Linked DNA regions of Sus scrofa. The protein of the gene in region 1 purifies or fractionates together with the protein of each later gene. This does not show direct contact. Links are inferred from orthologs where the notes say so. Each region holds a gene or a part of one and is shown on either strand. Other genes may lie near its edges.

The links. The genes of interacting proteins can lie anywhere in the genome.
Region 2: the proteins of PFDN6 (region 1) and PFDN1 purify together in Homo sapiens (affinity purification with mass spectrometry; 6 studies listed by BioGRID and IntAct, with this or other methods). This does not show direct contact. The link is inferred for Sus scrofa from reciprocal best matches to the Homo sapiens genes PFDN6 and PFDN1.

Annotation. Positions count from the first base shown.
Region 1 is NC_010449.5:29,651,201-29,656,681, reverse strand, and holds PFDN6 (prefoldin subunit 6), read right to left. Parts: upstream 2,991-5,481; intron 2,984-2,990; exon of another isoform or gene 2,841-2,983; coding exon of another isoform or gene 2,759-2,840; coding exon 2,695-2,758; intron 2,499-2,694; coding exon 2,428-2,498; intron 2,346-2,427; coding exon 2,221-2,345; intron 1,968-2,220; coding exon 1,838-1,967; 3' UTR 1,737-1,837; downstream 1-1,736. Other genes in the region: WDR46 (WD repeat-containing protein 46), read left to right, coding at 3,302-3,502, 3,598-3,813, 3,923-4,003, 4,134-4,246, 4,370-4,457, 4,593-4,654, 4,924-5,028, 5,150-5,300 and 1 more. UniProt on the Homo sapiens protein: Binds specifically to cytosolic chaperonin (c-CPN) and transfers target proteins to it. Binds to nascent polypeptide chain and promotes folding in an environment in which there are many competing pathways for nonnative proteins.
Region 2 is NC_010444.4:142,070,162-142,076,146, forward strand, and holds part of PFDN1 (prefoldin subunit 1), read right to left. Parts: intron 4,647-5,985; coding exon 4,480-4,646; intron 1-4,479. UniProt on the Homo sapiens protein: Binds specifically to cytosolic chaperonin (c-CPN) and transfers target proteins to it. Binds to nascent polypeptide chain and promotes folding in an environment in which there are many competing pathways for nonnative proteins.

The sequences.
Region 1 (5,481 bases):
GTTTACTCGAAGGGCTTGGACAGGTAGCCTTTTCTGGTTGGGATCGCTGGCTATGGTTGGGAAGATGGAAAGCAAAGGTCATCATGGCCAATTTACTGCCCTTTTGGTCTGCTGTCCTGCCAGGTAACAAGCCAGGACAAAGCTCCAAGTGTCATCAGTCGTGTCCTTAAGAAAAACAATCGTGATTCTGCAGTGGCTTCAGAGTATGAGCTGGTGCAGCTGCTACCAGGGGAGCGAGGTCAGAGGCTGGGGGCAGGGGAGCGGTGCTGTGGTGGGGTGCTTCCTCACCCCCCCATCCCTTCCCGGGGCTGTGCCTGACACCCCTTTTGGAACCTCCAGAGCTGACCATCCCCGCCTCGGCCAACGTCTTCTACGCCATGGATGGTGCGTCCCACGATTTCCTCCTGCGGCAGCGGCGCAGGCCCTCTACTGCTACGCTGGGCCCCTCTGCCTCGGGGACGCCCCCGAGCGCGGGGGGAGGGGGCTCCTTCCCCAGGATCAAAGCCACGGGGAGGAAGATTGCCCGGGCACTGTTCTGAGGGGAGAGCCTCGGCTCACAGAACTCACTGCGGCCATACCAGACGGGGGCGCTACGTTGGGAGAAAATCCAGCAAGGCGGCCAACTACCCTGGGGCAGTGAAGTGCTGCCAGGTTACCAGGCAGCCAAGACCCAGCCTGTGGGACTGGTCACCTCGGATCCCAAGGTGGACAACCTGTGTGTAGCTCTTCCCGATTTCCAAAAGTGTGGCACACAGCTGGTTCCTGACACCTGGCCACACCCTCGCATGCCCAGGCCCAAGAAGGGCCTAGAAGTGGGAGAAGGGAAAAGCCTAGAGGCTCTGAGCCCCAGGCAAAGGGAATGGCAAGTAGGAGTTCCTTTTCCTGCTCTAGGGATTCCTGTCACTGTGACAACACTAATAAACCAAAACACTACCTGAATTCTATTCCTTGCAGCGTGGGCCACTGATGCTGCGGGGGCGGGGGCAGGGGGGCAGGCTGAGAGTGGATACTGTGGAATAAGAGGGGCTGTGTTTTCCGTCCATGAAGAGCTGAAAGCGAGGAGCTGCTGGAGATGGTCTCCTCAGTATGGTTTCTGCCTCCCTGGCAACCTCTCCATCCCTTTATTTGCTCTTAAACTTTTCTCCTCAGCTGTTACAAAACCTTGTCAAGTTCTAGCCACCTGATTAAAGTGATCCGTGCAAAAACCCCCACACCTGTGAATGTGTAAGAAACAATTTGAGGACAAAGAAACGGAAGAACAACATTGTGGACAACGTATAAACATGGAGGACGTATGATATCAGAGCGTTAGGTGTTGAGATTTTAAATCAGTTTAAGCTACATTCAAGCAAATTCTAAGAAAAAAAGACTAAAACGAATTAGAGGGATGCCAGGGCTATTTTGAAGATGATGGGAAATCAGCAGGGAGGGTCCCCATGTTTCATTCTGGGGTCACAGCTTAGAAAATTCTGAGTTCAATTAAACTCACTTTACCCAAAACCACTGCATTGCAAATGCCCTTCTCATGTTTCCAACCAGGATAATGGAGACCTAAGGGCTGCATATACAGGAAAAATGAGATTTGAGATATTTCATATTTCAGTCTCAATAAAGAAGGCTTACTCGGCCTCAGAGTGCCCAGTTGCAAGAGTCTGGACCTGAGGGAGTCACAGAAGCGATAAACATATAAGGGGAGAAGGGACCAGGGGAAAAGGTGGAGATGATTACAACAGAAGTGGCTGGTGAGAAAACAGCCAGGTGTTTTCACATTTTATTCACTACAGTAGAGACCCTTGAGCTGCCTCATTCCCACCCCCTCCCTCCCCCCTCCACAGGGTCAGGCCTTCCCAGGAGCCCCTGCCTTGGCTGCCTGGGCCCGCTGGAACTCCTGCTGCAGCTGAGCCAGGGTCTCCCTCTGTTGCTCTGACTGGCGCTCCAGTTCCCGGAGTTGGGATTCGTATCGCTTACTGAGGAAGACAGAACACCAAAAACGGTGAGGTCTTAATGAGACTTACTGCTGAGGATGCTGAAGGCAGGAAGGAGATTGGTGGGGAACGTGAGATCCAAGGGAGGGAGGAGAAGAGGGGTTAAAAGGAAAGCGGCTGGAGGAACTGGGTGGTGGTGGTGGTGGGAACAGCTCTGGAAGCTACTCTACAAGGCTTTCTCAACACGTCTTCCACCGTGGCATGTCTGTCAGAAGGTGCTGGAACAAAGACTCACATTTCAGCTGTGATGTAGTCCAGCCTTTTCCCCACTGTGGCTCGAGCCTCTCCCAGCTCCTGTTTGACCAGCACGGGACCCAGAAGTTTAAAGACCACGTTGGATCCATCCAGCAGGGCCAGTTCCTGATGGAGGGGCAGGACATCTGTGATCAGAAACATTGCCAGGACAAGTTCCCTCCTCGCCCCACAAATCCTGTGCTCTCACCTCCTTCACGATATTATTTTCTGTTAGTTGTGCTTCTAGTTTCTGCCTCCCTGACATGGACTTACTCAAGTCTGGCGGGTGGGAGGGAAGACTTGATTAAAGACATCAGATATGCCACCCAATCCCTACCGTCCTGGTGAGAAATGGAGCGACAAGGACGGGAACACCATGGAGGTGGGGAAGGGGCACGGGTGGGATGGAGAGGGGCAGGACGCATCTTGTAAGGCTTCGGGTAGTGAGAGAACCGGGACAACCCCGTTCCCCTACCCTTCTGTAGCTGTTGATATTTCTCCACTTCTCCCTGTAGCTTCTTCTGGATCAGCTCAGCCATGGCGAGGACGAAACTCCGCGGGAAGAGGGAGAGGGGCGCTGGGTTGCACACTCTGGAAGGTACCCGAGCTCCCCTTTCCGGCCTGCGGAAATGACAGCCCTCTTGAGAAGCAGCCCCTCGGGGCACCGCAGTCTCCCCCCGTCCGAGATATCGACTCCACCCCTGCTCTAGGCGGCAGCGGGGGAAAAGAGACCCCAGAGCCCTCAACCGAACGCCTGCTCTATCTACTCACGTTCTTCTTTCAGTGTTGGTGAACCCGGAAGTAAACAGAGAATGCTGGGAAGAGACGGCGCCGGAAGCTCTCGTCTGACGCATGCCGGGAACTGTAGTTCTCACTTGTTAGACGAGTGGCGTTTTTCTAAAAGGCTGGACTCGGAACGTTCTAGGCAACATGCGGAAACGAAGCTGGAAAAAGGAACTGCACAGTCAACTTGAGTCCTGGCTCCGGACCACCTCTCTTTCATTACTCAAGCATAAACTGCCTCACGGGGGCGGGGCCAAGGTCTGCCCCCCACCTCACTGGAGAGAGCGCCCTCACCCAAGATGGCGCCTCGAGGGCTTCGAACCTGGGGCGGAGCTGATTGGATGAGGGCCGGAAGACTTCCGGGAGTTTTCAATCCGACTGTGGGACAGCTGAGAGGAGTTTGCACGTGTGTCGCGGTTCGGGTGGGCTTGATGGAGACAGCCCCCAAGCCTGGCAGTGATGTCCCGCCCAAGAAGGACAGACTTCAGGCCAAGAGAAAGGTAGAGACCTCCTTGGGTTGAAAGGAAAGTTTTTGGCTGAGGGGTTGGAGGGGCGGGGAGGAGGCAGCGGAATATCAGGGGTCCTGATCTGCCAGCAGAAACCTCGGCGATACTGGGAGGAAGAGACCGCTCCGACAGCTGCCGGAGCCTCTCCGGGTCCCCCTCGTAAACAGAAGAAGAATCGAGAGGCCCGCCCTCAGAAGCCAAAGAACGCTCCCATCCAAAAGAAGTCTCGGTTCCCCAAGAAGCCCCAGGTCCCAAAGAAATCCCAAGAATGGAGGAGTCCAGGCCCTCAGCGGAGCTTGTCTGGGGTGAGCCTGGGACCTTATACGGTGGCGAGGCAAGTCTCCTCGTGCTTTGAGGGTACGAGAGTTGGGATCAACCCGAGCCTGTTTACTAATTGCCCCATTCCTGTCCCAGGCCCAGGACCCGTTTGCAGGCCCCGCCCCTGTCCCTGTGGAGGTAGTTCGAAAGTTCCGTCGCATCGACAAATCCAAAAAGGTGAGAACCGGTCGGAGAGTGGGGAGGAGTTGCAGGCAGGGAGTGTCTGGGTGAGCTGGATGGAGGCGCGGTCAGGTGGCTCTCCTGTAACCCCCATACTCGCCCATTCCTCTCCCACCAATGATTGTAGCTGCCCCGTTCCAAGTCCAAAGCCCAAAGCCGGCTTGATGCTGCTGAAGCTGAGGAAGAGGAAATAAGCGTCAAAGCTGCTCGTTCTGAGCTGCTGCTGGCTGAGGAACCTGGGTAAGTGGACCGTAATGTGGGCCTCCCCAGCTCCTGGTTTATGAGGCTCTCATTTCTCACTTTTATGTTGATACACTGACTTCACATCGGAAAGCTGAATGCAACCCTGACATTCACTGGCAGGTTTCTGGAAGGTGAGGATGGGGAGGACACAGCAAGGATACGCCAGGCTGACATCGCAGAGGCTGTGGATATTGCAAGTGCAGCCAAGGTGAGCCTGAGGGTGTAAAAGGATCCAGCGGGCTGACTGGGGTGCAGAGCAGGATGGAAGTGGGGCTAGAAGAAAATATTACTGAAGGGACCCAATTTTTTTCTTTCTTTTTTTCTCCGCTATTCCCTTTTCCAGCACTTTGACTTGAACTTGAGGCAGTTTGGACCCTACAGGCTGAATTACTCTCGAACAGGGAGGTAAGGTTGACTTCCAGTGATTTGAACTAGGGTGTGGTTGAGTCTCCTTCATTGCTGCAGCCTTGCCCACCCCTGACGCGTTGTGTGCATGTTTGGGTGTGTATATACCTATGTGTACATACATGAGCGTACATTTGGGCTGTTGATGTGGGAGACTCTTGTGACCTGCTCGCGTGTGAGGGTGAGCGTGGAGGGAAGCTGGTGAGGGCAGACCTCAGAGGCAGGGTGCTCCCTGTACTGACACCCTGCCTGTCCTCCACCTCCAACAGGCACCTGGCTTTGGGAGGGCGACGGGGTCATGTGGCCGCCCTCGACTGGGTGACAAAGAAGCTTATGTGCGAGATCAACGTCATGGAGGCGGTGCGGGACATCCGGTCCGTGGGCTCTGGTGGTGGTGGTGGTGATGGCGGCGGCGGTGGGTGGTGAGACAGCCCATCCCCGACTGAGTGACTGCCAGTGACTCTCTGTCACCCCCACCACTCCTGCTCCTCCTAGGTTTCTGCACTCAGAGGCACTGCTTGCTGTTGCTCAGAACCGTTGGCTTCACATTTACGACAACCAGGGCATCGAGCTCCATTGCGTCCGCCGCTGTGACCGCATCACCCGGCTTGAGTTCCTGCCCTTCCACTTCCTCCTGGCCACGGCTGTGAGTGGCTGTGGAGCACAGGGCCGGGGTGGCAGCCCCCCATGAAGACTGATCCTCCCCTGGGACCCAGTAGAGGGAGCCCAGTGGGCAGCTGGGACTCATCCTTTCTCTCTCAGTCAGAGACAGGGTTTCTGACCTACTTGGACGTGTCAGTGGGCAAGATCGTGGCAGCTCTGAACGC
Region 2 (5,985 bases), on another chromosome or scaffold:
GTGCTGCAGATACACTGCTGATCCCACACCTCAGTGGGAACTCCAAAATATGTTACTTTTATCATTTCATCTTTATTGAATCATATATTAAAACAGCATAATAGGAGTCCCCTTGTGGAGCTCCCTCTGTGGTGCAGTGGGTTAAGAATCCAATTGCAGTCACTGTGCTGGGCCAGGTTCGATCCCTGGCCCAGCACAGTGGGTTAAAGGATCCAGTGTTGCCACAGCTGCACTGGTAGGTCACAGCTGCAGCTCAGATTTGATCCCTGGTCTAGGAACTTTCATATGGCCTGGATGCACCCATAAAAAAATAAAATAAAAAGTAGGAGTTGTCTGGTGGCACAATAGGTTAAGGATCACTGTAGCATCTTGGGTCACTGGCCCAGTAATTCCCATATGCCCCAGGAGCAGCTAATAAATAAATAAACAAACAGCATAATAAACTCCAATTCTTTGGTTTGTTTGTTTGTTTGTTTGTTTTTGGTCTTTCTAGGGCCACACCTGCAAAATGTGAAGTTCCCAGGCTAGGCATCGAATCAGAGCTGCAGCGCCGTCCTACACCACAGCAACAGCAACTTGGGATCCAAACCACGTCTTCAACCTACATGGCAGCTCACAGCAACACTGGATCCTCAACCCAATGAGCAAGGCCAGGGATGGAACCCACGTCCTCATGGATACTAGTCAGGTTTGTGACCACTGAGCCACAACAGGAACTCCTAAACTCCAATCCTTACTGACACTTTCTAAACATTTTCTTTCTAAAGAACCAAAAGAAAATGCAGTTATTTTAGACAAGAGAATCATATTCAATTCAAATCAATGTACATTTAATACCTATTTTGTGCCAGACATTATGCTGAGAACTGAGAAAACAAAAATAAATATGTATATGGTCTCAGAGAGCTGACAACATACTTGAGGAGACAATACCATTTCAAACTCTGTCCATTTCTGCCCTCTACCCCTACCCCCCAACCCCCCAGCCCCCCCACCCGCCCATGTGCTCTACTAACCACAGGAACAAAATTCCTGGTATCACTTAAAGTGTGAATAAGCTGCCAGGGAAGATGGAAAAATCTTGAGAAAAGATGAATTATGTCTTGAAGGATGCAAATTTCACAAGAGAAACTAGGATCCTGCAGCCCAAGGACAGAATTAGCAAAATCAAGAAAGCACAAAAACATGGCATGTGTGAGGAAGCCTATGCACCAAGGGTAGAGATAATAATTTGGGGTATATGTGCTACTACTCTTCTACCTCACCCCGAGACAGACATCACTAATCAATTAAAACATGTTTAAACCCACATGAGACTCAAATTCCTTCTCAAAGGTAACCCAAAACCAACGGATGGAGTTAAATCTATGAGATGAAATCTATGTGCTGACCTGAGAATAGAAAGAGTGGGATTTGAGGCTAGAAGGGTAAATTAAGGACAGGTTATGATAATGGTAAATGCTAGACCAATGAGTTTAGACTTTTTCCCATGGGCAAGTAAAGAAAAACAGAAGATTTTATGAAGGATAATGACGTGATCAATTCTGGCAGATGTATGAAGAAAGCATTTGGACCAAGAGAATAAAGACAGAAACAACAGTTAAGAAGCTATTACAATAGTCCAGAGCTAGACACAATGAGGCCTGAATTTCAGGGATGACATAAATCTACTGCAGGTTCTAAAAAAATTATACTGTTTTAGATTCCGTAATTATTGATTTTAAGACAACTGAGAAAATTTAGTATTCTAATTAAAACTTCCAAATAATATTAAAAAGGAAAAAGAAAAGTCAAATGAAGGTAAAGACTAGAATTAAAGAAGTGAATCACAATGATACTCAAGATTACTCAAGACTATAAATGCAGAAATAGATATTTCAGGTTTAGCATCAAGAAGGAGAACTCATGACCAGACTAATACTCAGCAAGTCTTTTCTTCCTGAGGGCACTAATACTCCAGCCAAACAATAAACACTACCTTACATGCCCCTACAAATGCAAGTTTCAAATTCACACCCCCCCAGTGAGATGCAGAAAATACAAAAGTCAAATTTAGAACCAGTCTGAAACCATTTAAGTATTCCACTTTATCTAAACATTTAAAACTACACATTTAAGAAGCATAATTTACATGAAACAAATCTGTAAACACATCTGTAGAACAGGGGTTCTACCATTAACTAATTTTTTTTTTTTTTTTTTTTTGCTTTTTAGGGCCGCACTTGCAGCACATGGAGGTTCCCAGGCTAGGGGTCGAATTGGAGCTACAGCTGTCAGCCTACACCACAGCCACAGCAACAAGGGATCTGAGCCACGTCTGCAACCTACACCACAGCTCATGGCAATGCCGAATCCATAACCCACTGAGCAAGGCCAGGGATTGAACCCACATCCTCATGGATCCTAGCTGGGTTCATTACTGCTGAAACACAGCGGGAACTCCACCATTAACTAATTCATATCCCAGTCTTTAAACTCTACAGTTCTTTGTGTGGAATACAACATATATGGAGCACTTTGGGCAGTACGCAAAAAAAGTAACTCTCCTATCATTTCTGCAGAATGTTTAATAAATTAAATTATTCTAATAAAAAATTAAAACTTCACTGTAGATCGAAAGGACAAAGATAATCAAAGAATTTTTCTATTCTGGAAAGAGATTCTTTAGCTGTTTTGAACAAAGGCTAAAGTAATGATGTGAAATCCAAGTGCGACATTAACAAGCATGCTAGAAAAGCTTAAGACTTAAGGATATTCACATTAAGGATAAAATTATCCCATAGCAAATACAACAACACAGTTCACACTGCATAGACACATTCAAGGGTTCTACTCTGTCCTCATTCCAATTTGTGTCCCAATAACACACTCTCAGAATCTCCTTTTAAAACAAGCTAAAATGAAAAATATGAACTCTGGAGATAAAATTTATTTGTGGTATATTATTTATTCTGAGAAAGCAAATCAGTTTATCATATTCTATCTCTTTTCCAGAAAGATATGGATTAGCTAGTCAAGAGTAGGATCTATTTCTCATGATGTCATTCCAAAGCCATTACTAAATGTTACACATGTTATGCTTCCTTCCAATCAATCACAAAACAAGTCATCCTAAGACTGAGGTCAAATTCCTTTCTAACTAAAAGATCTCCAAACTTAAGTAATGGTCCACTTAGTAAGTAATATTCAAAGACCAAAATTCAGAAAACCCTCCTCCTGTACCTCTCTTACTTATTTAAAGAAAAAAAAAAAAAAAAAAAAATCTGTCTCTTTGAGCTCATTGTGATGGAATGTGACCTGTAGCTAAGGGCTTCTCCATTCCTATTTAACTACTTAGAAAACAAAAAGCAGGTCTATTTTTTCTCAAAAGAGTAATTTTTTTTTTTTTTTTTTTGGTCTTTTTGCCTTTTCTAGGGCCGCTCCCGCGGCATATGGAGGTTCCCAGGCTAGGGGTCAAATCGGAGCTGTAGCCGCCGGCCTACACCAGAGCCACAGCAACGCAGGATCCGAGCTGCATCCGAGACCTACACCACAGCTCAGGGCAATGCTGGATCCTTAACCCACTGAGCAAGGCCAGGGATAGAACCCTCAACCTCATGGTTCCTAGTCGGATTTGTTAACCACTGCACCACGACAGGAACTCCCATAAGGGTAATATATTTTTAAAAGGAAAAAAGTGAAATGTAGGTGGTTAATCATATAATAATAATTAGAACAATAGGTAAATTGATTTACTAGATTTCTCATGTATGACAGAATGAGTGTATTTAAATGACAACTGAGTATTTTTATTTCACAACACTAGTCAAACAACTAAAAGATTTATAATGTGAATGACTACTAATAATTAGGTTGCTAAGGGGAGGTTAAAACTACAACTGCTTAAATCAATCTTCACCCATAAAACTACTATAAACATCTTTTCATAACAAATCATGTTTTTATCATTCAAGTTACACGCTTATGTACGTAAGTAGAGAGAAGAACAGGGAAATAAATATTTTAAAAATGTACTTCAAAGTTAAAAATTAGGAGTTCCCATTGCGGCTCAAAGGTTAATGAATCCGACTAGGAACCATGAGGTTTCGGGTTCCATCCCTGGCCTTGCCCAATGAGTTAAGGATCCAGCATTGCCCTGAGCTGTGGTGTAGGTCTCAGATGCAGCTCAGATCCTGCGTTGCTGTGGCTCTGGTGTAGGCCGGCGGCTACAGCTCCGATTTGACCCCTAGCCTGGGAACCTCCATGTGTCGTGGGAGCGGCCCTAGGAAAGGACAAAAGACAAAAAAAAAAAAAAAAAAAGAAAGAAAAAAATTAAAGACATCAGTTTCTCATTTAAAAAAAAAAAAAGAAGATATTGACTAGACAATCTTTAAAGCTACTCTGATATTTTAATTTAAATTTTAAAGTGAACAAATTTTACAATTTAATCCAGACAAAACCTCTTCCAAGATAACCCCCTTAAGGATATATTTTACTTACATTCTTCCTACACCTTCATACATGTTGGTCTCATCTACCAAAGTCATAATCTCCGTATCTGTAAGATGTGCATGCTTTTTTGTCCTGTTGAGCTGTTCAATCTGTATGTCTGCAAGCTTCACCTTCTGTTGAGTGTCAATAACTTTAGCTTGAAGCTCTGTGAAGGCCTTAAAAAAAAAAAAAAAAGTCCTTGATTTAGTAAGTGAAACATTTTACAGAAAATATTTAAGTCAAATTTAAACATATTAAAATAAAGCCTGCTGAGACAAAGTTATAAAATTTGATGTTTGTTACCTGCGCAAACATCAATAAACGTTCATATAATTATAAATGATCAAGCCACTATGCTAAATATTCTTGACTCTTGAACAACTCAAGGCTTAGGGGCACTGACTCTCCATGTTGTCAAAATGCTGAGTACAGGAGTTTCCTCCTGGCTAGGAGGTTAAGGATCTGGAGTTGTCACTGCTGTGATTCTGGTTATAGCTGTGGAGCACATTTAGTCCCTGGGCTAGAAATTTCCACATGCCTTAGGCATGGCCAAAAAAAAAAAAAAATCCCAGTGTAATTTACAGCTGACCCTCCATATAGCAGTTCCTCTGTATCCTTGGTTCTACATCTGGATTTCAACCAATCACACAGTGTGTGGTACTGTAGTAATACCTTTAAAAATCTATGTACAATTGGATCCCCGCAGTTTAAACCTGTGTTGTTCAAGGGTCAACTGTTTTGAATTTACCCAGTCCTCAAAAGATGCTGTCTATTTGAAGCAGCAGAACAAAGACATGGTAAATAATAAACATATCAAGTAGCAGGTACCCAAGGAGTAATATAGGCACTAAATGCAACAGTCAGCGGATGAAACCCAGAGATCCAAAACAAGAACCATAAATGTAACTACTCACTACATTTATATTTTACAACTAGTTTTCAAAGCACTTTCCCACATTTTTTGAACTATTAATATGTAAATATTAATATGAGAACACTAATAGATGTAATAATAAATACCTCATTTACTCTTCTCAACAATCCTGAGTTAGGGCAAGCAGTTTCATCACCACAGCTTATAAATTAAGTAACTAAATGTTTGAAAGAGATATAAATGACTTGCACATGGTTGAACAACTAAGAGGTCTAAAAGTGAGCTCTTAAGTCCATTTCTTGACTTCTAGTTCAAAAACCTTTCCGTTCTGCTGTCTATAGTAATATTCAGAAAATGCATATTTTAAGAGAAGGACAAAAAAGAAAATATTTGAAACACTGGAAGAAGAATTATATCATGACAGAGGCACACACCAAGCCAAATCTGACCCTTGGGTACCCTTAACTCAAAAAGCTCCTAGGTACTCTTGTTGAAGAGCCTAGAATGACTTTCACATCCTGTCAAATTTATGCCTTAATACTTGAATAATAATTTTTGTGGCTGCAATGCATGGCAAAAGCTGCTATTTAACTTCTACTCTGGCTTTGTTCTCACCTACTAGTAAGGTTTCAAAATTTTGT